Linked DNA regions of Sus scrofa. The protein of the gene in region 1 binds, or shares a complex with, the protein of each later gene. Links are inferred from orthologs where the notes say so. Each region holds a gene or a part of one and is shown in the gene's direction. Other genes may lie near its edges. The genes, in order: SUMO3, SENP2, USPL1 and SENP1.

The links.
Region 2: the proteins of SUMO3 (region 1) and SENP2 are in contact, whole or in part, in a crystal structure (PDB 2IO1), measured with the Homo sapiens proteins. The link is inferred for Sus scrofa from reciprocal best matches to the Homo sapiens genes SUMO3 and SENP2. Residues at the interface, in NP_008867.2 of Homo sapiens: Arg55, Arg58, Arg60, Phe61, Asp62, Gly63, Pro65, Asn67, Asp70, Leu75, Asp81, Asp84, Phe86, Gln87, Gln88, Gln89, Thr90, Gly91, Gly92, Val93, Pro94, Glu95; in NP_067640.2 of Homo sapiens: Gln385, Asp386, Phe393, Lys394, Leu395, Arg396, Trp410, Leu411, Asn412, Asp413, Glu414, Ser439, Thr440, Phe441, Pro444, Lys445, Arg456, Trp457, Lys459, His474, Lys476, Val477, His478, Trp479, Met497, Gln499, Gln542, Asn544, Gly545, Ser546.
Region 3: the proteins of SUMO3 (region 1) and USPL1 are in contact, whole or in part, in a crystal structure (PDB 7ZJU), measured with the Homo sapiens proteins. The link is inferred for Sus scrofa from reciprocal best matches to the Homo sapiens genes SUMO3 and USPL1. Residues at the interface, in NP_008867.2 of Homo sapiens: Gln24, Asp25, Gly26, Ser27, Val28, Arg58, Arg60, Gly63, Gln64, Pro65, Ile66, Asn67, Asp70, Leu75, Phe86, Gln87, Gln89, Thr90, Gly91; in NP_005791.3 of Homo sapiens: Ala234, Cys236, Trp237, Pro321, Gln322, Leu323, Arg324, Met330, Glu331, Ser332, Val334, Phe335, Leu339, Tyr368, Thr378, Thr380, His393, Phe394, Gly395, Pro396, Asn398, Arg407, His421, Val423, Tyr451, Asn454, Asn455, His456, Phe457, His493.
Region 4: the proteins of SUMO3 (region 1) and SENP1 are in contact, whole or in part, in a crystal structure (PDB 6NNQ), measured with the Homo sapiens proteins. The link is inferred for Sus scrofa from reciprocal best matches to the Homo sapiens genes SUMO3 and SENP1. Residues at the interface, in NP_008867.2 of Homo sapiens: Gln24, Ser53, Arg55, Gln56, Arg58, Arg60, Asp62, Gly63, Pro65, Asn67, Thr69, Asp70, Gln74, Glu76, Asp84, Phe86, Gln87, Gln88, Gln89, Thr90, Gly91, Gly92; in NP_001254523.1 of Homo sapiens: Gln440, Asp441, Glu446, Arg449, Leu450, Thr451, Lys455, Trp465, Leu466, Asn467, Asp468, Glu469, Asn494, Thr495, Phe496, Lys500, Arg511, Trp512, Lys514, Lys515, His529, Gly531, Val532, His533, Trp534, Gln597, Gly600, Ser601, Asp602, Cys603.

The regions. Positions count from the first base shown.
Region 1 is NC_010455.5:207,479,974-207,487,788, reverse strand, and holds the start of SUMO3 (small ubiquitin-related modifier 3), read left to right. Parts: upstream 1-3,426; 5' UTR 3,427-3,649; coding exon 3,650-3,670; intron 3,671-6,634; coding exon 6,635-6,763; intron 6,764-7,815. UniProt on the Homo sapiens protein: Ubiquitin-like protein which can be covalently attached to target lysines either as a monomer or as a lysine-linked polymer. Does not seem to be involved in protein degradation and may function as an antagonist of ubiquitin in the degradation process.
Region 2 is NC_010455.5:123,427,022-123,434,856, forward strand, and holds the start of SENP2 (sentrin-specific protease 2), read left to right. Parts: upstream 1-2,893; 5' UTR 2,894-3,119; coding exon 3,120-3,220; intron 3,221-3,516; exon of another isoform or gene 3,517-3,619; intron 3,620-5,625; coding exon 5,626-5,681; exon of another isoform or gene 5,682-5,773; intron 5,774-7,835. UniProt on the Homo sapiens protein: Protease that catalyzes two essential functions in the SUMO pathway.
Region 3 is NC_010453.5:7,333,230-7,340,283, forward strand, and holds part of USPL1 (SUMO-specific isopeptidase USPL1), read left to right. Parts: intron 1-3,458; coding exon 3,459-3,572; intron 3,573-7,054. UniProt on the Homo sapiens protein: SUMO-specific isopeptidase involved in protein desumoylation. Specifically binds SUMO proteins with a higher affinity for SUMO2 and SUMO3 which it cleaves more efficiently. Also able to process full-length SUMO proteins to their mature forms.
Region 4 is NC_010447.5:78,425,262-78,432,315, reverse strand, and holds part of SENP1 (sentrin-specific protease 1), read left to right. Parts: intron 1-3,140; coding exon 3,141-3,344; intron 3,345-4,748; coding exon 4,749-4,828; exon of another isoform or gene 4,829-5,736; coding exon 5,737-5,821; intron 5,822-6,328; coding exon 6,329-6,424; intron 6,425-7,054. UniProt on the Homo sapiens protein: Protease that catalyzes two essential functions in the SUMO pathway.

The DNA.
Region 1 (7,815 bases):
GATCAGATCTGAGCCGTTGTTGCGACCTAAGCTGCAGCTTCGGCAACATCGGATCCTTAAGCCACTGTGCTGGGCCGGGGATCAAACCTGCCTCTCAGGGCTCCCAAGACACGGCCGGCCCTGTTACGCCACAGCGGGAGCTCCACAAATGCAATTCTGGATGCCGGTTTCAGTCTCCGTGGACTCACCTACCTGGGCCTCAGCCTCACTCCTCTGCTGTAGGCCCAGAGCTCCAGCCGAAGCTCCGGGGCATCATCAGAGCCCCCAGCCAGTTTACCTTGCCCGGCCATGCCCAGGGACTATCTCCTCCATCCCCTCAGACCCAGAGGCTCTGCTCAGGGTCTCAGCCCCTCGCCCGCTGTATACCTAAGGGACGGCACTGCCCCTCCACGCACACGCAGAGGAAAGGCCCCGCGAGGACACGGGGAGTTGGTGGCCGCCTTCGAGCCGAGGAGAGAGGCCCCAGGAGAAACCCACCTGCCCGCCTTGATCTTGGCCTTCTAGCCTCCACTACTGTGAGGGAATAAATATTTGCTCAAGCTGCCCGGGCTGTGGTATTTTGTTACAGCCACTGAGCTGATGACACACCATACTAGTCACTAAACCCCTGAAAGAAAAACCACTTCCCTTCCTTCTGGGATCTCTGCCCTCAGAGAGAGTCTCTTCTGTTTTGGTAGCCATTTGGTGTCTTCAAGCAGAGCTTCAACATACTTCATACAGATTTTCTGATCGTTCAAAACCATAGGCTTTTTTTTTTTTTGGCTGCGCTCACGGCATACAAAGGTTCTCGGGCCAGGGAGCCCACGCCACAGCAGAGACCCAAGCCACAGCAGTGACAACACTGGATCCTTAACCTGAGAGCCACCAGGGAACTTCAAAACTGCAATAGTTTTATAATTCACTTTTAAAAAATGTATCAGCAGGAGTTCCCGTTATGGCATAGCGGGTTAAGGAACTGGTATAGCCTCTGTGAGTGTGTGGGTTCCATCCCCGGCCTTGCTCAGTGGGTTCAGGATCCGGCATAGGTCGCAGAGGCGGCTCGGATCTGGTGTGGCTGTGGCTGTGGCATGGGCCCCAGATGCAGCTCTGATTCAACCCCTGAGCTGGGTACTTCCATGTGTCGCGGGTGGGGCCATAAAAAGAAAAAAAAAAATGACTCAACATATGCGCATCTCTTCCTGTCACCAAGGACTCTTTTTTTACACATTTCTTTTACTGGGGACGCAGGCTTTCGTCCTACGAATGAACCACAGTTCGAATCCTTACTGGAACACCTTTAGATACTGCATTTCATCAATTCTAAGCCATAGGTTTTTCACCCTTCAGCAAGTCTGAAACCAGGACGTCTTCCGTCCAAAACCTGTCTTGGTTTAACGCGTCTGTGCTAAATAAACCAATTTCATGCTTTACAGCTGATGGTGTCTCAGAGCCGACGACGAACGATGGGTCCAAACGCCGCCTACGCGAAGCTACCCCACAGCCCGTCAGCCGGGGGCAGTTCTGGGCCCCACTGTCCATCTCTGTTCTGGAAGGGGCCAGTTCCCGGAGACCCCCCTCTCCAGGAAGCAGAGCTTGAGCCAGTCGTTGTACCCGAGGGCCCCCTGGTAGAGGCGACACCGTCCGGACTCCAGGACCCTCAGTCCTGGCTGAGATGGAGGTTGGCTCTGCTCGGACCTTTCGATGGAGAGACTTCGTCAGCCTGCTACGTGGCAGCTCCGTTTCTTGGAAGCGCCTTCCCTTCTCCTAAACGGGGCCTCTAGCCAAGGATGTGATTTTTTTTTTTTTTTTCATTTTTGAGGGCCCCACCGGCAGCAGATGGAAGTTCCCAGGTTAGGGGTTGAATCAGAGCTATAGCGGCCGGCCTACCCCGCGGCCACAGCAACACCAGATCCAAGCCATGTCTGCGACCTACACCATAGCTCACAGCAACACCGGCTCCTTAACCCACTGAGTGGGGTCAGGGATTGAACCCTCATCCTCATGGATGCTAGTTGGGTTTGTTTCAATGGGAACACCCAAGGAAGTGTGTTTTGAAGGGTCCAAAGTGGTTTGTGAAATTAAGGCCCATCAATACCTGGCCCTGTGGCCTTTCGACAGCGTCAGGAAGCAAGCAGAACCCCGTCAGCAGGGCCTTCAGATGGAAGCCATCTAGTGACCTGGGTTCAAATCCAGACCCTGCCACCTCCTAGTGCGTGACCCTGTGCAACCTTCATTCCCTGACCGGAAGAACAGGGGGCTAAGGTCCCTGCTGCAGAGTGTTGTGAGCCTTGATGCGTGCTTGGGACCACAGCCGGCACACCCGAGGGGTCAGTCCACGTCGGCCACTGCTGGTCCCTTTCCTCTGAGGCATGGGGTGGAGACGGGGAGGGCAGGAAGAGCCAGGGCCTCAGAATCCTGGAGGGCTTCCTGACCAGGGCCCATTCTTCACCACATTTCCCGAGGTTGCCTGAGTGCCCGTTTCAGCCTGTCCTGCTGGGGTTGAGCCCTGGGTTTGTCCCGAGGCAGCAGAGCACACTGGTCAGACACACGGACCACTGCCTGTGCTCACATCCCAGCGGCATTGCTCACCCACGCTAGGACGTCAGGTAACTCAGTTTCCTCACCTGTAAAATGGGCTGATGTAAAGGTCAGGTGCACAGCTTCCAGGTAGGGTAGCAAAGCGGTCCCCACCTGCCCCAGGTGCTCGGCTTCCACTGGCCAAGCTCAGAAGGGGGCTGGACAGGGGGAGAAGAACAAGCAGCCTAGCCCATCACAGAGAGAGGCTTCTGCCTCCCCGTCTCCCTCCCAGAAATGCCATTTATGCCTCCGTCCCCTGGGATCGCAGAGTGGAGGTGGCCGGACCTTGGAGCCTGAGTGGGTTTGCTAAAGGAAGTCATGCCCTGACTCCTTGGTGGACGGAGTGGCCGGGTGGGTCAGCCTCCACCCCTTCCTTCACTCCACTTCGAGGTCCGACACTTGGCTCCGGGCGAAGGCAAGCTGCACCTTCCCCAGTAGTGGGGGCGCCTCCCAAGACACTGTTCTCACTCACGTCCCCTGGAGTGGCTCGCCTGGCTGGCTTTATTTTCCTTTTTTTCCTCTGAGAAACACCGTAACCAGAAAAGAAAAGCAGTGGGTGCACTTAGGCTTGACTGGTGCTGCTGCAGTAGGGGGACCAGTTATGGGGACCAGAGCAGGGGCCGTTCTCAGGCTCCATGATAAAGCGCAAGGCCTCCTGGCCCGGTTCTCTGAGCACCTCGGGGTTCCAGTTTGCCCCCATCGCTGCCCCGTGTGCCCCCTGGGTCCCACCGTCCCCACCCTAGCTGCCCTGCACGCCTCCCGGGTCCCAGCGCGCCCCCCACCCCTCGGGCGGACCCGAGCCCCCGCTGCCTTGGGAACCCCCAACCCCGACGCCGGATTTCGCGGGGCCCCGCCCGGTGACGCATTTCCAACCGCCAGGAACCTCGGCCGGCAGGCCAGGCGCGCGTCCGACGCCCCGGGGTCGCGCCTCGTGCACGCGCGCCCACCACGTGACCCGCGCCGGCCAACCGGCGCGCAGGGATTTGGGGGCAAAGCGCGGCCCCGAGAGCAGTTGCGGCGGGAGAGCGGCGGGCCGAGAGCGTGAGTCGCCCGCCCGGCGCTGCTGCTGCCCCGCCGCCCGCCGCGCGCAGCCATGTCCGAGGAGAAGCCCAAGGTAAGGGCCGTAGGGCGCGGGCCCGTGCTCTGCCTCCAGCCCACGCCGCCGTCGCCGCCGTCCCCACCCCCGCCTGCGCCCCGTGCTGCACCGCCCTCCGACCCGCCGCCGGCCTCTGGGGCCCGGGGTCCGCGGCGCCACCCGGCTTCCCCGGCCCCCTCCCCCGCGCCGCCGGGCTCCGCTCGGCTCCCCTCCCCCGCCCGGCCGCGCGCCCCGCCGCGCGCCCCCTCCCTCCGCCCAGGCCCCTCCCTCCGCCCAGGCCCCTCCCTCCGCCCAGGCCCCTCCCCACGGGGCCCGCCCCGTCCCGAGCCCCGCCCCTCCCAGGCCTCCCCCCCCAAGACACGAGCTCCACCCCCACGGCCCCGCCCCGCCCCCGAAGAGCCCCGCCCCGTTGTCTCGGCGAGTGGCACCCCTATCCTGGACCATCCTGGACCCTCCTGGACCTGACCCTCCTGGCTGGGACCCGCCTGGGTCTCCCCTCGTCCCCCTTTGGGACCGCCCCTCCCCAGAACCTCTTTCCTCTTCGGACTCTCCCCCCGCTGCGCCCCTCATGCCAGGACCGAAGGTCCTGGCCTGCCTGGGCCCTACTGCCCCTCGGAGGGCCTCCTCCTCAGCTCTCACTGCGGAGAGCCCGAGGGGGCGCAGGCTGGGGACAGGGGCTCTGAGAGGCCTGACCTGTCTGGAGGCACGGTCGCCCCCCTGGGCGTGCGCCCACCTCCCCCGTCGTTTACTGTGTGCCCCCTGCCGCCCTTCCCCCAGGCTGTCAGGTCTGCGCCCTTGAGTCTGCTGCGCTGGCCCTTAGCCCTCCCCCTCCTATTAAAGACGGGCTTCTGGACCCTTGGGGTCAGTGTTTTCCAAGTAGCAGATCTGCTGCGAGTTGAACGATGGCGTGCAGGCTTTCTCTGCTGCCAGCCCCGCTGGAGGTTCCCCCCCTGCAGCTGAGGCTGGAGCCCAGGAGGCAGAGCTGGGGTTGGGGTCCAGGGCACGGAACCCCTGGTCACCAAACCCCTGGTCAGAGACCCCCTGGTTGAGCCCCAGGTCGGGAGCCCACTGTGGGGCCTGTGAGAAGAGGTGCCCTCAGGAGCTTCCTCTCTCCGGGTGCAGTTGGAGCTTTGTTTTTTATTCTATTTTATTACTTCTTTTTCTTTTATTTTGGCTGCCCCATGGCACATGCAGTTCCTGTGCCATGGGTTGAATCCCAGCAGAGCTGTGTCCTATGCTACGGCTATGGTAACATTGAACCTTTACCCACTGTGCCTGGTATCGAACTCATGTCCCTCCCTGCCCCTGCAGAGACCCGTCAGTCCCTTTGCGCCACAGCAGGAACTCCTGCCTTTGCTTTTTCCTTGCGGCCAGTTACATTTCTCACTCAGCCTTTGCTAGCGCTCGCGCCCTGGATCCTTTGTTTATTGGAGGCTGAACACAAGCGCCCCTTCTTCATGCTTTCTGGGGGCCTCTTTCTGCAGTTTAAATGCGATGAAATACACATAGATCTCATTCCTTCGGTGTGTTTAAACTTAGCTCTCCCACGTGGTCCAGCCCACAGCCCAATTCAGTTGAATAAACTTGTTTTCACTGCTTTCCAGACAAGGCCTCGTGCCCCACCCCTGCCCACCACAGCCTCGCTGCCTGCCGAGCTCTCCTCTGGGCCTGGGGGTGGTAGGAGGCCCGCTCCAGCCCATCTTGGTGAAAAGAAAACCTTGGGATCCGTTGGGAGGCCAGTTCTGCCTCCCTGGAGAGCACAGGCAGAGGCCTGCTGGTCGGAACTGTGGGTCTTGTCCACCCCCTTTCTTTGCAGTAGTTCACTGGCTTATTGGGAATTCACCAGGGCCGGGCACAGGCCATGTGGTCTCGGTGCCTTCCTCTGCCTGGCCTTCAGCCCCTGCCCTGTCTCTGTCTGCTTTGTGCTCTGGCCCCTGCGTCTCATTGAACACACCAGTACCTTCTCATTAAAAAAGCAATGCATCCTATGTCCACATGCAAAGAGAATAAAGTTGGAGGCATTCCCCTTGTGGTTCAGTGCTAAGGAACCCTGCTAGTACCCATAGGTTTCGGGTTCGATCCCTGGCCTCGCTCGGTGGATTAAGGATGTAGCATTGCTGTGAGCTGTGGTGTAGGCCACAGACGCAGCTTGGATCCTGCCTTGCCATGGCTGTCCTGTTAGGCCGGCAGCTACACCTCCGATTGGACCCCTAGCCCGGGAACCTCCATATGTTGCACATGTGGCCGTAAAAAAAAAAAAGACTGAAGTTGGATTTTTCTTGTCACTATATGCAAAAATTAACTCAAGGTGGACCAAGGACCTAAAACAGTACAACTCTCGGGAGAAAACAGAGGAAAGCTCCATGACATGGGACCTGGCAGTGGCTTCTTGGATGTGACACCAGTGGCACAGGCAGCATGAAGAAAAACAGACAAACTAGACTTCGTGAAAATTGTAAAAATTTTGTACATCAAAAAACACAATGGGAGTTCCCATTGTGGCTCAGTGGTATGAACCCGACTCGTATCCATGAGGACGTGGGTTCGATGCCCGGCCTTGCTCAGTGGTTTAAGGATCTGGCGTTGCTGTGGCTGTGGTGGAGGCCGGCAGCTACAACTCCGATTTGACCCCTCGCCTGGGAACCTCCAAATGCCATGGGTGCGACCCTAAAAAGGCAAAATAAGTCAATGAATGATTTTTTTTAAGTGATCTCAGGGCAAAGATGGACTTGCCCTCTGTGGGTTCCGGGGTCCGTTAGGCGGGTGTTCTCCCTCGAATCGAGTCTGAAGACATTAGACGTGGGACGTGTTAGAAGTTCTGTGCGGAAATCAAGGCTTCTGGGCAGAGGTGGGATTGCTGGAGCGAGGGGGGAATTGGGTTGGTTCCAATGATGTCGGGGAGACCAGCCGCCGCCGAACGCTGGCCTTTGAGCGGCGGGCAGTGGGGAGGCGGGCGGAGGCCAGATCCGCGTGTCGTTGCAGGAGGGGGTGAAGACGGAGAATGACCACATCAACCTGAAGGTGGCCGGGCAGGACGGCTCCGTGGTCCAGTTCAAGATCAAGAGACACACGCCGCTCAGCAAGCTGATGAAGGCCTACTGCGAGCGCCAGGTGCGGTGGTGCTGGAGCGCCTGCGCGTGCCTGCGTGTGCACGCGTGTGCACTTGTGTGTGCGCGTGTGCACCTGTGTGTGTGCGTGCCTGCGTGCCTGTGTGCATGTGTGCCTGCGTGTGTGCTTGTGTGTGCCTGTGTATGTGCGTGTGCCCCTTTGTGTGTGCGTGCCTGCCTGTGTGCTTGTGCTTGTGTGTGTGCACGCCCCCCCTCCCCGGAGGCCCTCCCTCTTCTGTCCCGTCTCCTGCAGGCTGGCGGTCGCTCCATCTTTAGCAGGTAGGGCACCCGTTGCCCCTGGTCGGGTTGCCTGGCAAGTCTTCCTGGTGCTGCTGGGATCATAGCGGGGGGTTCGCGTCCCCCTTCTCCTCCTCGGCGTCTGTGGAGACCCGGCCTGGCTTGGTTTCCAGACAGTGCTTGATTCTTGCCCTTTCTTTATTGCTCTTCGAGGTCGGGAGCAGAGGCTCTCATGCCCCCCACAGGGACCCGTGAGATGGACCGCTTCCGTGTCCCTCTCGTGTGAGCGGGACTGTGTCCTTGGGCCCCCACGGGAGCCGGTCCTTTCTGGCGGTGGCGTTTCTCCGGATGCTTTGGAAATAGCGGACCTCAGTTCCTGTTCTTGCCTTGGATGCTCTTTGCCTGGGCTTGTGCTTGTCGCTGTTATGAAAAGCACCTGAAACTCCACGCCTTCGTCTTTCTCGCCTCGCTTTTCAGACCTTGCTCTTCAGAGGCCATCACTGCCCAGCTTTTTTCCTGCGTTTTCGGGGTGCGCGTGTCCGTGCCTCTCCTCCTCGTCCTCTTGATTTGGAGGTGGAGTTCTCCTGGGACAGGTGGGCTGAGCCCTGCCACGCCATCCGCGCCCACCCGCAGCCCCTGTGCACAGATTCTGGCCTCGACGCCAGTCCTTTGCTCTGGAATCTCCTGATTCTGTCGTGACTGGGGCGGAGCTGCGCTGCTCCCAGGGCCACACGGCGACCTGTGCTGATTTCTGGCTCCTGCCCGAGCCTGTTTCTCCTGGCCTGGTGGCAGTTGTGTGTGTGCCCCGTGCCCCGTACT
Region 2 (7,835 bases), about 84 Mb from region 1:
TGAGTACCAGAGGAGTTGGTGCCTGGAAGGGAATTAATCTTCAAAGTGGTGAGCCTTGTTAGATTTTAGGTACATTAGGCCCAAGCCAACATCTCCTCTATGGGCCCCTACCCCCTCCCATCAAAAGGCCCAGATCTCCCTTCCAACAGGGGTCAGCAAAAACAAAGCTGAGAGGAAATCTTTCAGCACTCCAAGAATGCAGGCAAAGGGAAAATCTGCAAGACTAAAGAACGGATTGGAGGGCTGGGTTTTCATTGTTCTGTGGAGAGGAGGTAGGTTTTGAGAAAGATGGGGGAGGGGCGCTGATAAGGCCTGAAGGAGAGGATCTCCACCGGAGGAAGGGGATCTTTTTGGAAAACTAGGGCAATCGGGTGAAATACCCTACAAAAACTTAAGCCATGAGGTTGTGCTCCTCTGCCGGTGCACGGGTGCAAGTTATTCAAACCAAGAGCAGAAACCTCAACATCCTTGTAACTCCCTGTGATTTTGGAGTTCTCCTCTGGGCCTCCGGTGAAGAGTTCCTGGGTCTGGGAATGGCTGCAGAAGGGGTGGATTTGGGAGTAAGGATAATCCCACTCCTTGGTCAGTGGATGGACAGTGGTCCTTACCTCTACTGTGGACGACAGGACATCGAAGGCACCAACTGGCAGACAAGACCCAAGCGGAAGCGACTGTAAGGCTGAATCCCCTTTCTTTCTCCACTTCAGAGGGTGACTAGAGACACTAAGAGGACACAAAGTGGTGGGGGTGGGGGGTTGTGCTCATGGAAGGGCTGGCATAGTTATTGTTTGTTGATGAGGTCCAGAGATATGGACTGAGGTCTGTAATTCCAAAGCCCTCCGACTTTTCTTGGCGGGTGACCGACATTCCAGTATTGGGTACTTGCTCCAATGAGGCAGAAAAAAAAATACGTTGTGATGTTGTACTAGACTTCTCTGTAACATGATGCCAATGTTTCTTAAATCTTAGTGGCCAGGACCTGGGAGAAAGTGCTATTCTAAAGCAACCTCGGAGTGTTCTGGTTTATGTTTCGAATGAAGGCCACTCCTTTGTTTTGGAGAATTCCTTCCTGATACTTAAGTGTTCTTGGTTTGACAAAAGCAAAGACCAGCTTTTATAGTAGAAGGGACTTTTGGGACACAGCTGAACTGCCCTGCTGGTAGCCTTCTTCATCATCTTCTTCTTCTTCTTCTTTTTTTGTCTCTTTAAGGCTGTACTCACGGCTTGTGGAGGTTCTTAGGCAAGGGGTCCAGTCGGGGCTGTAGCTGCCGGCCTAGGCCACAGCCACAGCAACACCAGATCCGAACTGCGTCTGTGACCTACACCACAGTTCGTGGCAACGCCGGATCCTTAACCCACTGAGCGGGGCCAGAGATTGAACTTGTGTCCTCATGGATACTAGTCACATTTGTTTCTGCTGAGCCATGATGGGAACTCCCTAGATGCTGTATTTGTAATAGCCACTTCTAAACTTTCTCAGCTTTGTAATTCTCCTGTTATTCCCAGACTATCTGTAATGGCCTGGTATTAGCTATATTTTAGGGAATTGAGGGAGGAGCCCATGCCCACATTTAGGATTTGCTTCTACCCTCCAGGAACTGCTCCTATCCCCAGCCCAGGCCAGAGTGGTGGGTAGCCACAGGTGGGTAGCTGGTGGTTCTGTGGCTCTAGGAGGTGGCTTGCTGCAGAAAAATATTTATTGAACAAGGATGAGACTGTACTAGGGAGTGTCTCTGTTGAAGTTCAAGCAAGTCTGGAAGTCCAACCTTAACTGAATCACAGATTAAAGATCAAGTATTTCCAGGGATGGATTCGTGGGCAAGAAAACCTTTGCATATTCCCAGGAGTGTTAGGTAGGGGACTGGATTTTCCAGTAATAAGAAGGGTGGTTATTTTTCTATTGTTGATCGTTACTGGGAACCTCTAGACAAGAGAGGGAGAGTAGTTAGCAGGACTTCTTGGCAGCTCAGGGGGTATTAGTAGGTACTACTAGTAGGCCACAGGGAGCCTTCCATTCTTAAGTGTCTGTGAAGACTTTTTTGAGTTCTGCCCTTCCCGTCCTTTTCCCATCCAGTTTTCCTTTCTTTGGCTCCTACTGCACTCTGTACCCACCTTTATCACAACAGCCTTTTTTTTTCTTTTTCGTTTTTTGGCCACGCCCAGGACTTAGGGAAGTTCTCTAGCAAGGGATCCAACCTGTGCCACTGCAGGGACTCTAGAAATTGCAATGATGACACCTGATTCTTAACCCTCTGTACCACAAGGGACCTCCCAATCATCTTTTTAAAAATTTAACTTAAGTGCAGTTTACTTACAACCAATTGTCTTGAGGTGTAATTTGTAATCATATCTCCCAGTAGACTGATCTCAAGGGCAAGAGACTGGTGTTGGTACACAGACCCTGGTTCAAATTCCATCCGTGGTACTAGCTAGTTTTGTGACCGTAGGCAATTACTTAATCGCTCTATCCCTCGATTTCCTTACTGATTAAAAGTGGGCACAAGGTTCTGCATCTCCTGAGGTTGCTGAGAGAAATGAAGTTGACTGCGTGTAAAAATACCAGGCATAAAGTATGTGCAAAGTAAAGGGATCCTAGCAGGGTGAACGTTTGTTAATTAGCCTGACTAACCTTTATTTTGTGCATTCAACAAACATTTAATGATCACCTGCAGTATTGCAGGCCCCTGGAGCGCTCACTCCAGGGTAGAGAACGCTCTTGTGCGGCCGGTGGGCTTGTCCCTCGGGCAGTCTCAGGATTGGCTCCGCCGAAGAGAATACCCCGCCCACATCCCTTGCGATCTCGTCAGCGATTGGACTGGAACCTTCCCGCAGGCATTCTGGTTGCTAGGCTCAGGAGGTGGGGACCTAGGTTGCGCGTGCGCAAACTGAGAATGAGGATGCTTTCCGGTCGGGCGGGAGGAGGTGACGTCAGGAGCGGTGGCTAGCGGGGGCCTCCTGTAGCTCAAGGGACGTTGTATCTGTGGGCCCTAGGACCGCGTCACAACTCGGCGACTGAGCCTTGGCGGTGGTGGCCGAGGCGGAGAAGGCGGCAGCGGCGGCGACAGCTCTGGGGTTTGCGTCTCGGGGTGTGTCGGCCGCCGCTGCTGCTTGGGCCTGGTATGTACAAATGGCTGGTTAGGATTCTCGGCACCATTTTCCGTTTTTGTGACCGGCCGGTGCCCTCTTCCCGGGCTCTCCTGAAGAGGCGGCGCTCGAACAGGTGAGAGGAGAGGGGGCCGAACGCCGGCCTGGCACTCCCCCTCCCCCACCCGGGGCTCGGCTAGCCTAGCGCTGACCCAACCAGGCAGGCCCCGCTTGGCAGAAACAGGTAGCTGGGCGGAGGTGGTCGAGGTGCGGATCGCGGGCGTCCTGGTGACGTAGTCGCTCCTCCCCGCTGTGTGGATGCGGCTCCTGATGATGGAAGGAGCCAGTAGTTGATGGTTAGGATCTTTCTCATCAGAGCCCAAGCTGGTTGCTGTTAACAAATAGAGCTTTGTCATATTTTGCTGCTCTTAGGTTGAATACTGAAAATTGAAGGAAAACTGTCTTTGTTGTGGCTCACTGTTTGCAAAGCACACCCCCAGGTGTCATCTGTGCGCAATAAGCGCAGTTAAGGGAGGTGAGAATCATAGCTTGCCCAAAGTCCTTTTGACCACACGTACTGTTCTCTTAGCAACAAGAGACAGCAGCTGTCTTGTTCTAAAACAGCTGTCAAACTGTGTGTGTGTGTGTGTTGTCGGGAGGAGGGAGAGTGATTCTGTGCTTTAGAATTAGTGTATGAGAAAAAAAAATAGATATCTGATTACTTTAAAAAGATCACTAGTCTGTACTCTAAAATTCTGTTAAAATTTTGGAGAAACTAAAAGTTGTTCTTTGCATTTACCTGTTGGTTTGTCCCATTTCATTGTGTCCACCCCCTTCCCTAAGAATTAATCGAGAGAATAAAATACCATACTAAGTCTGTACATACCCACACCCAACTTTTAGTGGTCAGGTATTAATTTAATTTTTTATTAAGCCTCAAGATTGAAGGTTGGTTTCTTGGAGCTTGAGACAAAGATGATTAATTAATACATGAATCTAAGAATGCTGCTCATGATGAAATTGGCTTTGGGCTAAATTCCATCCTATGTTCTAGAGAGGGCAAGATTTCATTGTGTTTTTTATAATTTTCTGTGGAGTTAATACAAGGATCATTTGAATACAAGTTGTGCCTAAAATGATGCTTAATGCATATAAGGGTAGTGTTTGTTTATTCTACTCCAAGGGCCTTGTGCAGAGGCCGGAGCATGACAGGCACTTGTATATATTTATTGAATAAGGGAATGTTAATTCCCTCTCCCTCGTCCTTTATTTTTAATGCAAATCTCTGCTGGTCAGGGAAACTGGCTTGTAGATCAAAATCCTGTTCTTTATTATACATCCTTAATTGATATAAACTCTTCATTGTAAGCCATTTTTCAGTCCAAATGAAGCCAAAAAGTCTTCGTGGGATGTTGAAAGTTATGAACCAAATGGTATTCTCCTGAGATTTATTCTGTTTTTTCTTTTGTAAATAGGATCATTCCTAATCATCTTTAGAAAGATGATTATAGGAGTTGCTGTCATGGCTCAGTGGAAATGAATCCGACTAGGAACCATGAGGTTGCAGGTTCGATCCCTGGCTTCGCTCAGTGGGTTAAGGATCTGGCATTGCCATGAACTGTGGCGTAGGCCGGCAGCTATAGCTCCAATTGGACCCCTAGTCTGGGAAGTTCTGTATGCCGTAAGTGCAGCCCTAAAAAGCCAAAAAAAAAAAAAAAAAAAAAAGAAATGAAAAGAAAGATGGTTAACTGTGAAGCTTTAACCTTGAGATATAGGTCCAAAAACTTTTCTGAATTTACAAATTTTTGAGATATAGGTCCAAAACTTTTCTGAATTTCCAAATTCTTTATCACTGTAATATAGTTTCCATGATAAAAACACAGTTAAATATAACACCCTTTTCTGGCTAAGAACTGTCTTTTTTTTTTGTCTTTTCTAGGGCTGCACTCACAGCATATGGAGGTTCCCAGGCTAGGGGTCTAATCGGAGCTGTAGCTGCCGGCCTACACCACAGCTCACAGCAACGCTGAATCCTTAACCCCCTGAGCAAGGCCAGGGATTGAACCCACAACCTCATGGTTCCCAGTTGAATTCGTTAATCACTGAGCCACGATGGGAACACCAGAACTGTCTTTTAAGTAGACAATTCTTAAATTGTCTACTTCTATCTGAAGTAAAAAATGATTTTCTTCTGGGGAAGCTGTCATCTTTCAGAAGGAAATTATTCTTAAATCATTTTTGGAGAGAAAGGGAATAACTGGTCCTAAGCTTTTACCTATATTCGTTTACTAGTAAAGATTTCTGGCCAGTTTCATGTTTGTAGTCTAGCCAGACTACACATGATTATATAATAGGGAATTTTAGATCTCCACATCCTCAAAAGCTGAAGACCTACTATAGCATAAACATCAGTTAGATCTCATTTTATGACAGAGTGAATGGAAGAGGGTGTGTTTGAATAGTAAGCTTACTTATAGAAATGGAAATGTGTGTATATGAACATATATGCATATATATTATGTCTCTCTTCTCTTTTTTCAGCAGTCTCTTTTCTACAGTGGACACTGATGAAGTACCAGCCAAAAGACCAAGATTAGGTATTAAATATTAATTAAAAAAATAGCTTTTTCAATAGGAAAAATATATGTATGGACAAAATTCAAAAGATAAAAAGTATATACAGTGAAAAGTAAGTCTTTTTCCTGTCCCTTTTCCATTGTTATCTTTTTTAGAGGTAAACAGTGTTACCAGAGACTTAAATATCTTTCTAGATAAATAAGTCTGTATGTTGAAATTGCATTTCAAAATTCCTAATCTTCCTATAAAGAAAAGGTGCTTTTTATTTATTTTTAAAATTTATTATTATTATTATTTTTGTCTTTTTGTCTTTTTAGGGCCACACCTGTGGCATATGAAGGTTCCCAGGCTAGGAATCTAATCAGAGCTGTTGCTGCTGGCTTACGCCGGAGCCACAGCAACACCAGATCCGAGCCGCGACTGCGACCTACACCACAGCTCATGGCAACACCAGATCCTTAACCTACTGAGCAAGGCCAGGGATCGAACCCGAAACTTCATGGTTCCTAGTCGGGGATTCGTTCCCGCTGCACCACGACAGGAACTCCTATTTCTTAATTTTTTACTTTTAAAATGAGAGTTGGAATATTTATTTCAGGTTCTCTCTCTCTCTTTTTAAGCATTTAAAAATTTTTTTGCCACACCGGCAGCACGTGGATGTTCCTGGGTCAGGGATCGAACCTGTGCCACACAGTAGTGACCAGAGCGTCAGCGGTGAAAACACAGGAGGCTTAACCCACTAGGCCATCAGAACTCCCAAAAGGTGCTTTTTATTTGAAGAGAAAACATTGTAAAAACTATTTCAAACTGGAGTCATCTAGTTCAGATAGCTAAGTGATCCAGTATAATGAGTTACCTCAGATTGTTTACTTCTCTGTATCTGAAGGTCTAGACATCACTGGTAGAAGAGAATAAAACTAGATTAAAGGGAAAAGGCACTATTAAATACTATAATAGTGTTTTCCTTCTTCTCAAAAATGAATGTGAATTTGAATCTATCTCCAGATGTAGTAAAGAGTGGATATGTCTGTGTTAAGATTTAATGTAAATTCAGGAGTGCTTATTGAGCCTATCTTACTGTTAAACAATGTGTTAGGTTCTACAGGAAATACAGAAATGAATACAACAGGTTCTTTATTTTTAAGGACATTACAACTGCAGGAGTATATGATTATTTAGTGGGGGGTTTAAGACAGTACATAAATTATACTAATGTCAATGATTACATGATAAATGAAATAAGAAAAGTAATAACATAATACTGTCCGATTTTCAGCTCTAAGAGTCTCAGTAAATATTTGATGAAGGAGCTAATATGTGAGGTGAGTCCAAGGATGGATAGGGTATTGACAGAGCAATAGGAAGGACAGTAGGCAGAGGGGACAGTAAAAAGTTTTGCAATTCAGGAAATAATGAATAAAACAGGGGAAAAATTGACAAAAGAGAGAGTTCAAAATACAGAAGACTTTGAATGTCAGAAATATATACCAAATTTATTAGGACATTATATTCCAAAGCACAGGATAGATACCAGTTCAGGAAATGATTTTAGGAGATACGACATTCATAGCATTAAGAAACATTTGGGAATTCCTGTCGTGGCTCAGTGGTTAATGAAACCGACTAGGAACTGTGAGGTTGTGGGTTCGATCCCTGGCCTTGCTCAGTGGGTTAAGGATCTGGCGTTGCTGTGGCGTAGGCCGGCGGCTACAGCTCCGATTGGACCCCTCGCCTGGGAACCTCCATATACTGCAGGTGTGGCCCTAAAAAAGACAAAAAGACCAAAAAAAAAAAAAAAAAAAAAAAGGAAATACTTATCTAGTACTTGCCAGTTTTGCCTTTTTTAACAGGCTCAGCTGGAACTTAATATTTTTGTGTGTCTGTTTCTTCATAAGGCAGGTGATGTTGCCTTGTGTTAAAGTAGTAGCACTATACATTTACCATTCAGATACATTTGTTTAGCAAAAAAGAGTCAATTTTATACAAAAATATAAATAAATATGTGATTAAAAAAATTAAAAAATGGTGGTATTAGAGAAAGTTCCTGAAATAATGCTGTAGTAATCTGTTTTACGGACTTCCATGTTAAGGACATCTCCCTCCATGATGTCCATGAAATGTGCATTAAGATTTTCTTTTATTGGAGTTCCTGTTGTGGCTCAGTGGTTAACGAA
Region 3 (7,054 bases), on another chromosome or scaffold:
AAAATTAAGAGGAAGGAATAAAGACGCTGTGGCTGTATGTTTGCTGTCAGGGTGGTGATAGTCAGCATAGAGTACATCCAAATAAAATTGTAAGTTTTTGAATTGCCATAAGGCAGAATAAAGAAGTAAATACCTATCACCCATAATCCCTCGAACAACTCCCTCGAAGTGTATTTTCACAATGAGAGGTGTATTTTTGTTTCATTTTCTAAGAAATAGGATACCAATGAATCCACCTCCAGCCCAGATAAATTAAAATATTTCCGTTGACTTAAATCTACCTGTATATTCCTCCCATCCCATCTTCCACCTTCCTTCAAAGGTAGTCATTATCCTGAAATGTGTTTTATCAATTCTTTTGTTAATAGTTTTCACTGCGTAGGTATGGCTAAACAGTGTATTGCCTAATTTAATTTGTTTTGAACTTTATAAAAAAGATACTGTACCATATTTTTTCTGGGGATCTTTTTTTTCTTTTGATATTTGTAGTTCATTGTTTTTCATTGCTATATAATATTTCCAGTTCATAAATGCATCAGTGTATTTATTCATTGATCTGACATTGGGTTTTTTTTGCCATTATAAATACTGCTGCAGTGACTGTTCTTGGGCAAGTCTCCTGGAGCAGAGGGAGTTTCCCGTGGATTTATCATAGGATAGACCCTGAGTTCACATTTACTGATGATGGTTACTTGTTTTCCAAAGTGGTTGTGCCAGTCAGTATTCCATTAGCAATGCAGAAGAGATCTTCCTAATCCTTATTTCTTCCCTTAGTTATTTTCACACTTGGAAATTTTGTGGTTTGAATGATATTAAATGGTCCCTGGTCTTGATTTGCCTTGCCCAGCTTTTAAAGAGGTTTAACAGCTCTTCATATGTAGATTGAGCCTCTGTTCCTTCTGTGAAGTGCCTGTGTCTTATCCCTGTTTGTTCTTTTGTCACATTCTTAGGGATTTCCATGAGTTTTTAGTGTTTGTTGTTGTATTTGTCAGATAAATTGCTAAATCTCCCAATTTCTATCTTATATTTTTACTTTTTTAAAAAGTATCTTTGATGTGTAGAAATCGTAATCTTTCCTTTTGTTGCTGGTATGTTTGTGGCTTTAAAAAGAAATGTTTCTCCAAAATCAGAAAATCCTTCACCTGTATTTTCACTGATAAGTCATAGAGTTTTGCTTTTTACATTGAAATTCTTAATTCAGACTCCTAGGCTGGGAACCTCCACATGCTATGGGTGCAGCCCTAGAAAAGACAAAAAAAAAAAAAAAAGAAAGAAAAAGAAATTCTTAATTCAGCTGGAGGTAATTTTTGTTTGTGGTGTGTGGTAAAGGTTTGTTTTTTTCCCCATTGCACAATCAGTTTTTCTAGCTCCACCTATTCCTCAGTTGGTCTGCCATGGCACCTTTGTCATATAACATTCTGCATATGAATGCAACTTCCTTCACTCTCAATTTTGTTTTTTTGGTCACTTTATCTGTCCCTTTACCAATACCACACAATTTTAATTTTTACGGCTTTTTTGGGTCTTGGTATCTGGTAGGGAAATAATCCTTACCTGTATGCAGTTTGACTTTAGTCGTGTAGTATTTATCAATACTGTACAGTTTCCCCATTGTTAACTATTCAGACTAATTACCATTTTTTTGCTATTGTATATAAATACTATGGCAAATATCCATGTATCTTTGACTCCATTTCTTTTTTTTTTTTTTTTTTTTTTGTCTTTTTGTTGTTGTTGTTGCTATTTCTTCGGCCGCTCCCGCGGCATATGGAGGTTCCCAGGCTAGGGGTCGAATCGGAGCTGTAGCCACCGGCCTACGCCAGAGCCACAGCAACGCGGGATCCGAGCCGCGTCTGCAACCTACACCACAGCTCACGGCAACGCCGGATCGTTAACCCACTGAGCAAGGGCAGGGACCGAACCCGCAACCTCATGGTTCCTAGTCGGATTCGTTAACCACTGCGCCACGACGGGAACTCCTCCATTTCTGATTATACCCTAGAAGGAATGCTAAAATATGAATGTAAAGAATCTTTCTGAATGGCTTTCCAGAAGGATTATACCAACATAATAATCCCATTTTCATATGTAGAAGTAAACATTCAGGAACACTCTAATCATCTTTGGGTAGAAACATTTAAAAAGGTATCATTTTGTTAGATAAAAAATATTTCGCTTCAGTTTGAGTTTCTTTGAGATTGAATTCTTTTTCTTTGCAATTTCTAAAAGACAGTTTCTCAGAAGCATTTTTGCTTTTGCCTTTTCTCTTTATTCCTGTTTTGTATAGTTACAGAAACCCCAGTACTATGTAGGTGATAGTTGTTTGTTGTGGGAGAACATACCTCAAGTTTTGACTTAAATATTGAATTAATTTTAATTTTTTGTCTAAATATTACTTTTTTCCAGAGTAATTGTTTTTGTAATATAGTTGTAATTACATTTGTTTGAGCTACATTACTTTGAATTGAAGTTTTCCCTTTCTTTCAGTATGGTTAAATAAAAAAAAAAATTCTGGTTAATGCTTACTTCATATTACAGAGGACTCCAGATGTTTTCCTGGTGAAACATATGAGCAGAGTGTGATCAGGCAGTAAAAAGTGTAAAATAGGTCTTTTCACTCTGTGTGGCTTATGAGTCAGTTGCGTACGGAGGCTTTTATTCAAAATAATTTTCTTATTAATCTTGGGTAGTTTTCGGTCACAGTAATGCCATTTTGAGGTGTTTTACCTTAAATGATAAAAAAAAAAAAATGTGCCCAAAGATGTTTATCATGATAGTATTTATAATAGCGAAAAAAGAAGCAACTTAAGTGTCCAGCAGTAACGAGTGGTTACTAAAACTATGGTTTAGCTGGAGTATAACTAGCCTGCACAGTTTTAGTGGAAGCAAATTTGTATGAAAAAAGCAGAATGTGGAGTTGTATGAGGATGGTGATGTCGTTGAAGACCCTTCACCCCAGCCCACCGCCAAAAAAGAAGAACATACCAAATGTTAATTTGGAAAATAATCGTAACTTAATTAAGGCTCCTTATGAACTTATGTGCTCCTATGATCTAATTAAGCGCAGTGAAAGAGTAAATGTCTGTAGCCCAAGTAATAATTCCATGTAAAAAGGCAGCTTCAGCTCTTTCAGAGATAAGCAGGATATCTGAAAGCGTAGCTCTCTAGCCAAGCCTGTGATTCTTTGGACGAGAATGGCTTTTGCTGCGGTTTTACTCGGGCGGGATGGTGTTGTGTTGACCCAGGCAGTCGGTCCTAATGATATTGTGCTGTTAACACATAATTGAGGGAATATGCAGTACACCGCAGAGGGAGGAAGAAGAATGAAGGAATTTCGTGTTTTCCATTTTATCTCTGCAAAGTTTGTTGACTCTGGTAAACTTTCATTTTTGGTAATGTCTTAATTGTGGAAAGATATATGTTGATGAGACTGATAATGTTTTATATTGTATTACTAGGCGGAGAGTGTAAAAAACTTCATTCAGAAATATTTCCGAAGATAGAGACCTGTCTGAATGAAGTCAGAGATGAAATTTTTATTAGGCTTCAACCTCAGTTGAGATGCACATTAGGTAAGTAATTTGTGGAATTTAATTGTATTACTCATCTATCATAAAGAAGTAATTTACATCATAATGAAATATAATAGTGTTTTATTTCTTGGGATGATCAGATCCTTGGAAGAGAGAGTCTGGGGGTCTCACTTAGGAATCTCTCTGTAACAAAATCGTTTGTGGACGGAACTCTTGCACTAGTACACAGGCATGTGCATCACTCCCACAGAGTGGATGCGGATCTCAGAACCGGGGAACTACTCATGGGTACGCCATTGCTTGCTTTCCCAGTACTTTCCCCAGTAGACTTATTTGAGCTTTTTCAACCTTGACTATGCATTAAAAAAGCACCTAGGGTTGGAATTCCCATCATGGCGCAGCGGGAACTAATCCAACTAGGAACCATGAGGTTGTATGTTTGATCCCTGGCGTCGTTTGGTAAGTTAAGGATCAGGCGTTGCCGTGAGCTGTGGTGTAGGCCAGCAGCTACAGCTCTCATTCAACCCCTAACCTGGGAACCTACATATGTCTCGGGTGCAGCCCTAAAAAGACAATAGATAAATAAACAAACAAAATAAAAAAGCACCTAGGAAATACAAGTGCTAGGGGCCTACGAGAATCTTAGGGAGGGAGTTCAAGTATCAGTAACTTTTAGAAGCCCCTGCATGATTCTTATGGGTGGACAGGGTTGAGAATCTCTGGCCTAAACCAGCCATAGTAATTCTGTTTCCCCTGCCAGAAGTTGGTTAGAGAGTGGACATATTGTACAGTTTTAGCCAATGGAATATGAGGAGAAATAGGTTGATGACCTTTTGGGAAAGTTTTCTTACCTTTAAAAAGGGCACAAGAATGAGACCTGCTTTGTCGTCTGTGAATTAATTGGCTTTTGGCCTCTATGACCAGAGTGGAGTAAGGGTAGTAGAGTCTCCAGGTCTTTATAAATTTTTTTAGAATTGCACAAAGGAGCTGGCAGTGATTTTTTTTGAGGGCGTCTTTCTGTTTTCTCTTTTTCCTTGTATTAATATTGTGTTATTGTACCAGAATATATGATACCCCTATTTAGTATGATACCCACACTAAACTATGTAAAATATCAGTGCCTTCAAGTTTGTCTCTCAATAAGAGACGTTCATTTCGTTAGACGCAGATAGTATACCTGGAAGCGCTGTCTTTTTTGCATGGTAGTATCCTATTTCTTTGTCCCACAGTTCTGTCCCCTAGTTTTACTATTTTGTTTTTCATGAACTCCTAAATGTATAAGCTTTCTCTGTTCTTGTAATAATAAAGTGATTTTCCATATGCCAGACCTTCAGCATTGCCTTCTGTGGGCCTAAAGTATTATTCTGATTTATCATCAGTTGCAGTCTCAGATGGAGTAAATACCCTTTTTTCCTTGTGATCGAAATATGATTTACATAGAGTAAAATCTTTTTCAAAGGTGTGCAGTTGTGTTACCATTACCACTGTCAAGATAAAGAATAGCACTGTCACCATGAAAATGTTCCCCAGGCTCCTTTGTAGTCACCCCCTCTCCTTACCCCAACCACTGATCTGTTGGGAGGATACTCATTTCAAAGGAGACTTTTTTGTAGGCTTGCCAGAATGTAGACTGAGGGGCTCCCGTGTTGCATTTTGCAGGTATTATTTCCCTCCTAGAGTGACCCTAGATGTTTTATTCAAGTTTCCTACCGCAGTTCCTCCCCCAGTCCGAATCACCACCCTTCTTATCTCTGCTACTTATATTTGGAACAAGGTTGCCTCTTGCTCCGTTTGCCACCTTGGGCCTGGTTTTCTGTGTAGCAGAGAAGGGATTTTTAAATTTTGAGCACTTGTAGCAGTTGGGCAAGCCTGCAGCTCTTGAGTGCAGTAGAGTCCTCTCATTTGTGTTTGGACTACTCAGTCAGCAGTGAGAGGTGCTGTGCTAGAGCTCAAGATCTTATTAATGAAGTCCAATCTTTGCTTCAGGGAGCACTTTAAAGTCTTAAAGTGGATGTGTCCTCATTCTGAATATTAATGTATATTTTAAAATACCAAAAAAGAGAAGTAGGAGTTCCCGTCGTGGCTCAGTGGTTAACGAATCCGTCTAAGAACCATGAGATTTTGGGTTCGATCCCTGGCCGTGCTCAGTGGGTTAAGGATCCGGCATTGCCGTGAGCTGTGGTGTAGGTTATAGATGTGGCTCAGATCTGGCGTTGCTGTGACTCTGGCGTAGGCTTGGCAGCTACAGCTCTGATTGGACCCCTAGCCTGGGAACCTCCATATGCCGTGGGTACAGCCCTAGAAAAGGCAAAAAGACACACACATACACACACACATTAAAAAAAAAAAAAAAAAAAAGGAAAGAAAGAGAAGTAGAATCTATACTGACCCAGAGAGTTGGTTGAATCTTTACAATCAGTCAGCCACTTTATCATTTTGATTATAGGGTTTATTTGTTTGTTGTCTTTTATCTTTTTAGGACTAAATCTGAGGCATACGGAGGTTCCCAGGCTAGGGGTTGAATCGGAGCTGTAGCTGCCAACCTACACCACAGCCACAGCAATGCCGGATCCTTAACCCACTGATTGAGGCCAGGGATTGAACCCACATCCTCATGGATCTTAGTCCGGTTTGTTAACCACTGAGCCATGATGGGAACTGCTTGATTATTGTTTTTAAAAAAACACTTTGTAAACTCTCCTCTCTGCTCTCCCTCCCACTAGTTTAAGAAATAGAACATTACCGATAACAGCTGAAGCCCTTTTTGTACTCTTCCCTAATTCTTCCTTAGCTCCCTACAAAGGTAACTACTGTCTTCAATTTGGTGTTTTCTTTGCCTCTTACATGTATATTTCTTTTTTTCTTTTTTTAAGGAAAAACCTAGTATCGGTATGGTTTCTACTTATTTATGTAAGTGTGCGGTAGTACCGATGTAAGGATAGACAGAGCTATAGAACAGAATAGAAGGTCCAAATCAGAGCCCTCCCCTCTGGGCTACTTCATAGCTGTGATGGAGCGATGCAGATAGGTGGGGAAGGGAAGAGCTGTCCCTTGAATGGTCTTGGGGCAGTGCGTTCCTGAGACAGGGGTGGGGATTGGATCCCTGGTTCCTATCACATTTGAAAGAAACTTCAGCACGTTTAAAGACATAAACATGAAAAGCAAAGTTGTAAAACTTGGAAAGAAAATGTAGGTTTTATTTTACTACTCAGTGGGGAGAAATTTCATAAAAGAAGAGGTTGGTAAATGTTATTACATTAAAGTATAAAACTTCTGAGCAACAATAGAACAAAGAAATGATATCCAGGATATCTTATGAAGAACTCATACATTAATTTTTTAAAAAAGAAAAACTGATAGAAAAGTGGTCAGAGACATTAGCGAGCAATTAACAGAAGCAAAAACTTAATAGCTAGACAGTAAGGAGTCACTGAAAGATTTGCATCCTGGTAAATGGAGGTATTTTAGGGAAATACCCAAACTAGGGTACAAATGTTCTCCATCTTTCAATGGTCTGACTT
Region 4 (7,054 bases), on another chromosome or scaffold:
ATAAAATCACAAAGAAACAAGACACTGTAAACAACCATTCCACTCCCAAACAGGACTGCATAGACAAGCAGGCGCTCATGGCCAAGGCTGTGAAGGCAGCCGGAAGGGCAGCTCTTTAGAAGCCACAGCAAAGAGAGGCAAGTGTGGGCCCCCAAAAGAGTGACAAGTGCAAGACCAGTAGGCACAGGGCTGATTTACTACTCTTAGCCCCCTATTCCAAAGGGAATTCAAGATCTTCTGGAGCTAAGAGAGCCCTGTGTGCAGAAAGGCTCTCACCACGCAAGGGGAGAGACCCTTGTCTTCATACAGTACAAGCAAATGCTGTCACTGCTTCTCTTTCATCTTAAACACTGTGATCTCTTCTCTCATTTTGGTTTTCTTCATCTTCAGCCCTCCTCTGTGAGAAGATGTGTAGGAATCTTTTTGTTCTCCTAATTCCTAGCTTGTTTTTTTGGTATGATTGTATCTTGGCAGACCTATGGCAGTTTTCCTCATTTGGACAGAGTAATAGCTAAAAAACTGAGGAGAGAAACTTGGATCTAAAATCTGCCTCAGATGTCAGATTACACCTCCTTGGCTAATAGGAGGGAACATTGAAGCCACCAAACTCCCTCCTAATGGGATACAGTGTAAATGAAAAGGAACCCAGATCCTCCCTAGAGCTAGTTTAATGAGCTGACTTTGGAGGAAGCCATTTCCCTCTCAGTGGAGAAACCTTGGTTGGAGGCAGAGCTAAAGCAATGGAAAAAGGTCCTGATCCCTAGGTTCCTGTTCAGCTGGTTTGGTCTTCAGCGTTATAGTCCACTCTCAAAATAATAAAATAAGAAACAGCTCAAGCTAGACTTAATTGTTTTCTGGAACGCTTTCCTCCTGAAAAATGTGATAGCCATGTGTGGTGTGACACTCATTTATGTCATCGTTTTCACTGTAGGTTAATGATCCCAAAGGCGATATACCCCGGCACCTGGGGAGATAGATCTCCATGGCTCTGATGTGCTTAGCTGTCCTTACATCTCTGTGATTCCTTCCACCTCCACCTCAAATCCTTATTGTCTGTTGTAATATATAACTTATCTGCCCCATGGAGGGTTTGGCTTACAGTGACTGACAGATTGTCTGCCTGTTCTCTTCACCCCTTGGATTGGAGGGTTTAGCCTCATAACATGGCTAATATTGTGGGGTAGAATACCAGAGGAGTCAGTCCCTTCTTGCTGATTTTCTTTCACTCGGGAATTCAGATTATAGCCAGGAATCTGTGCTTGTTGGGCAGATCTTCCTGTAATCCTGGCTGTCTTCACAAGCCTAGAAACATCCTTTAGCACCATTGCCTTTGGGGCAGAGTTAGATTGAAAACCTCGATTTGAGAAATCTGTGATCCTGATTGTCTTGATTCATTATCATTTAAATAACTCAGCTCCAGTTACTTATTGGCTATCACACCAGGCAGAGAATTAACCACAACCTGGGTTTTCTGGGCCTATAGCTCAGTCTTTAGAGATGCAGGCAGAACAGTGTCTTTCTTCAGTCCTAGCTTTCCCCACCACCACCCTCAGAGCCCGGCCTCATGGTGAATGTGGTTTCCTTGCAGCTGCCTAGGCATCCTCATCTATAGGCCCTTTCTCTAGTCTAGACCATGCTCCGGTGTGTTCCTGGCAGTATTCCCTGCTGCCTACCCAGTATGTAGTTGCCTACTGTTGGGCAGTAGCTCACTGCTCTGGCATCCTAGTGTGTAAATATTTGTCAAAGGACGGGGGCGTTTTCCCATTCCCCAAAAAGCATTCTGAAAAATGTGCCTGTTTTCTTAGTCATATTTCCAAGCCGTGGATCAGTTAGCCCATTCATTCCTTGTAGTTGACAGACACTAGTGCCTGACCTCAGTTGGCCACATAAAGTAAGTATGCAGTAACTTCCGGCACAGTAACTTCCAAGCTTTAGTACCGAGGAGCCTTGGACCTAAAGGAACCATGGACAACATAGTCACTATTAAAGAACACATTATTTCATTAGCATGTTTTAACATATCTCTGCTAACATGACATTAAGCATTTTAATTTATTTCACTTGTACTTGCCTCATATTGAAGGCGTAAATGAGTCAACAAAAATGGGAAAGCTAACCATACAGATTCTGGGGGAGAATGTTACTCTTCATGTTTGTGATTTTACTTTCAAGTCTCATGTAATATAGGTTATACTATATCCATGTCTGCCTCTATACAAACAACATTGCTAAGCTGCTGTCACTTTAGAGATGTTTTTCCAGTAAGTTGATGGTTTATCCTGTCACACTCAAGTTCTACTTGAGACCAAAACAGTTTGCTTTTGCTCAGTGGCGTATTAGGCTGAAAATGCAGTCTTTAGTCATTGAGCAGTTTTCTATCTTTGTGCAAAATCAGGAGGCCTTCATAGAAGGATTAACTGCTGATCTTAGCTTTATTAACAGTAGATTTGGACCTCAAGATTTATTTAAATGGCTCACACAGACCCAGCAGATTAAAGGAACTTCTTGTACTCTTTCCTTTCCTTTTCTCTTGAGTCTCACCTAAAGGGGCGCTATAGCGCCCCTTCCTCCTCATTCTCTAGTTGTTTTTTTTTACCCTAATCTTCAGTATTCTACCGATCTGGCCAACATCTGCCCATATATATCCTGAGCCATGCATATATGTAAATATATAAATATATATATGTGTGTGTGTATATACGTCAACTTTCCCTGTTTTCACTCTTTATAACCCCCTCAACTCTTGTTCCTATGCTATGCAGTGTAGGAATGGTGTTTCCTTCTTACAACATAACTGTTTTCGAAGGCTTGAGTATCTATTTTTGTCTTTTTTGTCTTTTTGTCTTTTGTTGTTGTTGTTGCTATCTCTTGGGCCGCTTCGAGGCATATGGAGGTTCCCAGGCTAGGGGTTGAATCGGAGCTGTAGCCACCAGCCTACGCCAGAGCCACAGCAACGCGGGATCCGAGCCGTGTCTGCAACCTACACCACAGCTCACGGCAACGCCGGATCGTCAACCCACTGAGCAAGGGCAGGGACCGAACCCGCGACCTCATGGTTCCTAGTCGGATTCGTTAACCACTGCGCCACGACGGGAACTCCCTTGAGTATCTATTTTAATATATATACCTTCTTCCCACAGATCATCAATTTCTACATGAATATGCTAATGGAGCGAAGTAAAGAGAAAGGAATGCCAAGTGTACATGCATTTAATACCTTTTTTTTCACTAAGTTAAAAACGGCTGGTTATCAAGCAGTGAAACGTTGGACAAAGAAAGTGGATGTCTTTTCTGTTGATATTCTTTTGGTGCCCATTCACCTGGGAGTGCACTGGTGTCTTGCTGTGAGTACCTGTTTTATTTTTGTTAAAAGAAATCTATGTACTTCTAGAATACACAGAAAGTAGTGAATATTAGTTCTACACTTTCACTGGATGATTGAGGAAGGAGTAGCATTTAGTTGTCTAAAAATTGGATAGATCAGGGAGTTCCTGTTGTGGCTCAGTGGTAATGACCCCGACTAGTATCCATGAGGATGCCAGTTCCGTCCCTGGCCTCAGTAAGGATCCGGTGTTGCCGTGCGCTGTGGTGTAGGTCACAGATGAGACTCAGATCCCAAGTTGCTGTGGCTGTGGTGTAGGCCGGCAGCTGCAGCTCTGATTCAACCCCTAGCCTGGGAACCTCCATATGCCTCAGGTGTGGCCTTAAAAAAGCAAAAAAAAAAAAAAAAAAAAAATTGGATAGGTCAATGAGCTTCTTGCCAAGAGTGGGGGGTACTTAGGTTTTGAAGAAAGCTGTGGAATTTCCTTTTCTGGAAATATTTAAAAAGGGAGTTATGAGTCAAAGCAGGCTTAAGGCAAGGCATAGAGAGAAAAAGTGACTTCTTAATGATGCTGCCAACTCAGATTCTATGATTATTATTTTCTGCCTAATCATGACTTGCCTTGCATACTTGGTAATTTAATATTTTTATGACTCAGAAAACATGGATACATTAGCTTAAATATTAATAAACGTATAAAAGTTATTTTGCAGAATTACATTTGAAAAGCATAAAGCCAAAAGGAAATTCTCCAGGTAAAAGAAACAAAAGCTAGGAGTTACCATTGTGGCTCAGTGCATTATGAACCCAACTAGTAGCCATGAGGTTATGGGTTCAATCCCTGGCCTTGCTCAGTGGGTTAAGGATCTGGCGTTGCCCTGAGCTGTGGTGTAGGTTGCAGATATGGCATGGATCCCACATTGCTGTGGTTGTGGTGTAGGCCGGCAGCTGCAGCTCTGATTCGCCTCCTTGCCTTGGAACTTCTGTATGCCACAAGTGCAGCTCCCCAAAAAAGGAAGGAAGGAAGGAAGAGAGAGAGGAAGAAGAAAGGAAGAAAACAAAACCTAGAATCTTTTACCATCTTTCTGAAAATGTGTGGAAATGATCCCACTCAACTTCTTTCTCTGAAGAGCACATTATGTCTTCAGTGCTGCCCACATTGCAGATGGAGAACCTGAATACTAGAAAAAGGTTTTAGGGCAATGAATAGGGCCACTTATCAGTGAGCCCCCACCATAGTTCTAAGTAAATAACACCCCCCCATTCTTCTTTCCTCTGCAGATTAAGCAAGGTATAATGCAAAGTATCCATCAAACTTGTCATGATTTCATAGGAAATTGGTGGAAGTTTCCAAGTTCCAGGGAAGGGAAAAGCTGAGAAGTCAATTTTCTTCACTTCATAAACACACAGATTTTTTTATTCCTAGGTTGTGGACTTTAGAAAGAAGAATATTACCTATTACGACTCTATGGGTGGGATAAATAATGAAGCCTGCAGGATCCTCTTGTAAGTAAGGAGTTGAGGACAGAAGAATTTGGTGTTGGGTATGTGTTGTGTTTTTTTAGTTGTTGAATTCTGTTTTCTGATCCATTCAATGGAGTAATAAATAAAGGAAATTTTTATATTGAGTAAGAATGGATAGTTTCCATCAAAGAAAGTAAAGTTTAATAATAGTATAATAATACCAAAAGTATGCCCTAATGGGGATAATTACTGTCTTGGTGTGCTGAAATAGAGAGTGGGTACAGAGAGAGAGAGAGAGAAAGAAACTACTTAGGAATCATATTCTCCAACCTAATTTTTCAGATGAAGAAACCACAGGTGATTCTGATTTGCTCAGGTCCCACCAGTTAGCAGCTCAACTGGGAACCAAAATGCAAATCTCTTTACACATGTCTATTTCTCTTTCCGAAATGTCTGTTTCTCACTGTACCACTCTGGTGGCCAGGCGGAAGTAAGTTCCAGAAGAGTGAGCAGTTTGCGCTTAAGAAGAGTGCTCTGTATGGGGTGTGCACTCAACACATTGTTTTGGATTGAATTTTCACACCAGAGAATCAAGACTATAAATATAAATAAAGACCTCGATATTCCCAGGGAAGCATTTCTTTTTTATTAGATTGAGTTCCGAAGGACCATGTAAACCAAGGGAAAAGAATGAAAACTTGTTCTTCAGAAAGGACAGTAGATAGAGGAGCCTGGGTATCAGAGGCACTGGTTATGTTTCTCAGAGCGGGCGTGAATTGTGGGACTTCCAAAGGAAGCTTAGCAGTCCAGAGATTCCTTGCCCAGCAACATATACTGTGTTCCGTAGAAGTGCAGATGGAAACTTCCTAAGGATTGTCAGCCCCATTCTTTGAGCAGCAGGTGTCATCAGTGTTCCCCAAGCTCACCTCATTCTCTCCCAATACCTGTAGGCAATACCTAAAGCAAGAAAGCATTGACAAGAAAAGGAAAGAGTTTGACACCAATGGCTGGCAGCTCTTCAGCAAGAAAAGCCAGGTACATTTCACCTTGATGAGATGGAAATTCTGAGATTAGGGTATGGGAAAGAAAAGGATTTCACTGTTTAGTCCCCAGGGACCTTCTGTTTGGTCGTGTGGTTCTGTGGGAAAGTTAGAGTAAACTTCTGTGGGAAACCTAGTAATGTGTTTCTTATGAAGAACTAGGTTTTCTAAATGTCCAGCTATTTTGCCAAGTTTTTCATTTCTGTGGGTAATGTTTGCAGATTGTTTGGCCCCTGTGGGAGGGACCTGTTTTTACACACTGGGTATCGTGGGAAGTCTAAGGTATTCTCCTGTATGATTAATAGGACATACACAAGCCTGACTGAGAAGCTGTATTTTTTTTTTCTCTGAGCCTCTGTTGTTCTGAATGGGGAATCGGAGTAATCTCTTCAAAATTCAGGGAAACTTGTAAAATTCATGTTCTTTGGTTCTTATTTATAATCAAATAAGGAAAAAGGAAGCTTGGAAAGATGTCACCTTTTTGTTGTTTTGGGGCTTTCAGGAAATTCCACAGCAGATGAATGGAAGTGACTGTGGCATGTTTGCCTGCAAATATGCTGACTGCATTACCAAAGACAGACCAATCAACTTCACACAGGTGAGCTGAGCCGCCTGGAGGAAGCTCTGTGACCACCCTGGCTCTGGGTTGCCCGACAGATGTTTTTCTCTCCACTTGTACCACTCAGGGGGCTCCACTTCCGCCTATATATAGCTCATAACATGGGTGGAGATGGCCTGTGCCACGTCACAAGAAGAAGAAGGCTAGTGATAGGCCACATCCCAGGTTACCATACATCAGGTTACCATACAACCCTGGGCAACAGCAGAGCCTTCTTCCCTGCCTGTCTCCCCCACCTGCCTCAAATCCTATTAGAAGCAGAGAACTGGAACCAGAGCAGGTTTCCTTCAGTTTCCTTTTATTTGGGCAGCAGTTAAATTTTGGAACAGGCCACACCTCGATCTCCCAATGTAATTTGTTACGCTGCCTTCCTGCCCTGCCCCTCACTTGATGCAGCCGATTTGTCTTCTCGTAGTTTGTGATTGTTTATTTCTGTCCACATGGTCCTTCGGAGAACAAAGTGGTTTGAGACTAGAGATTATGGTGTAATCTTTGTCCTCTACTTAACCCTTTACTTCTGTTTAAATTAACACTTTACCAGATTTTTCCATCATAGCCCTTGGATGGAGCTGACTCTTGCCATTCCCATAACTTTTCCCCTAAAAGTGA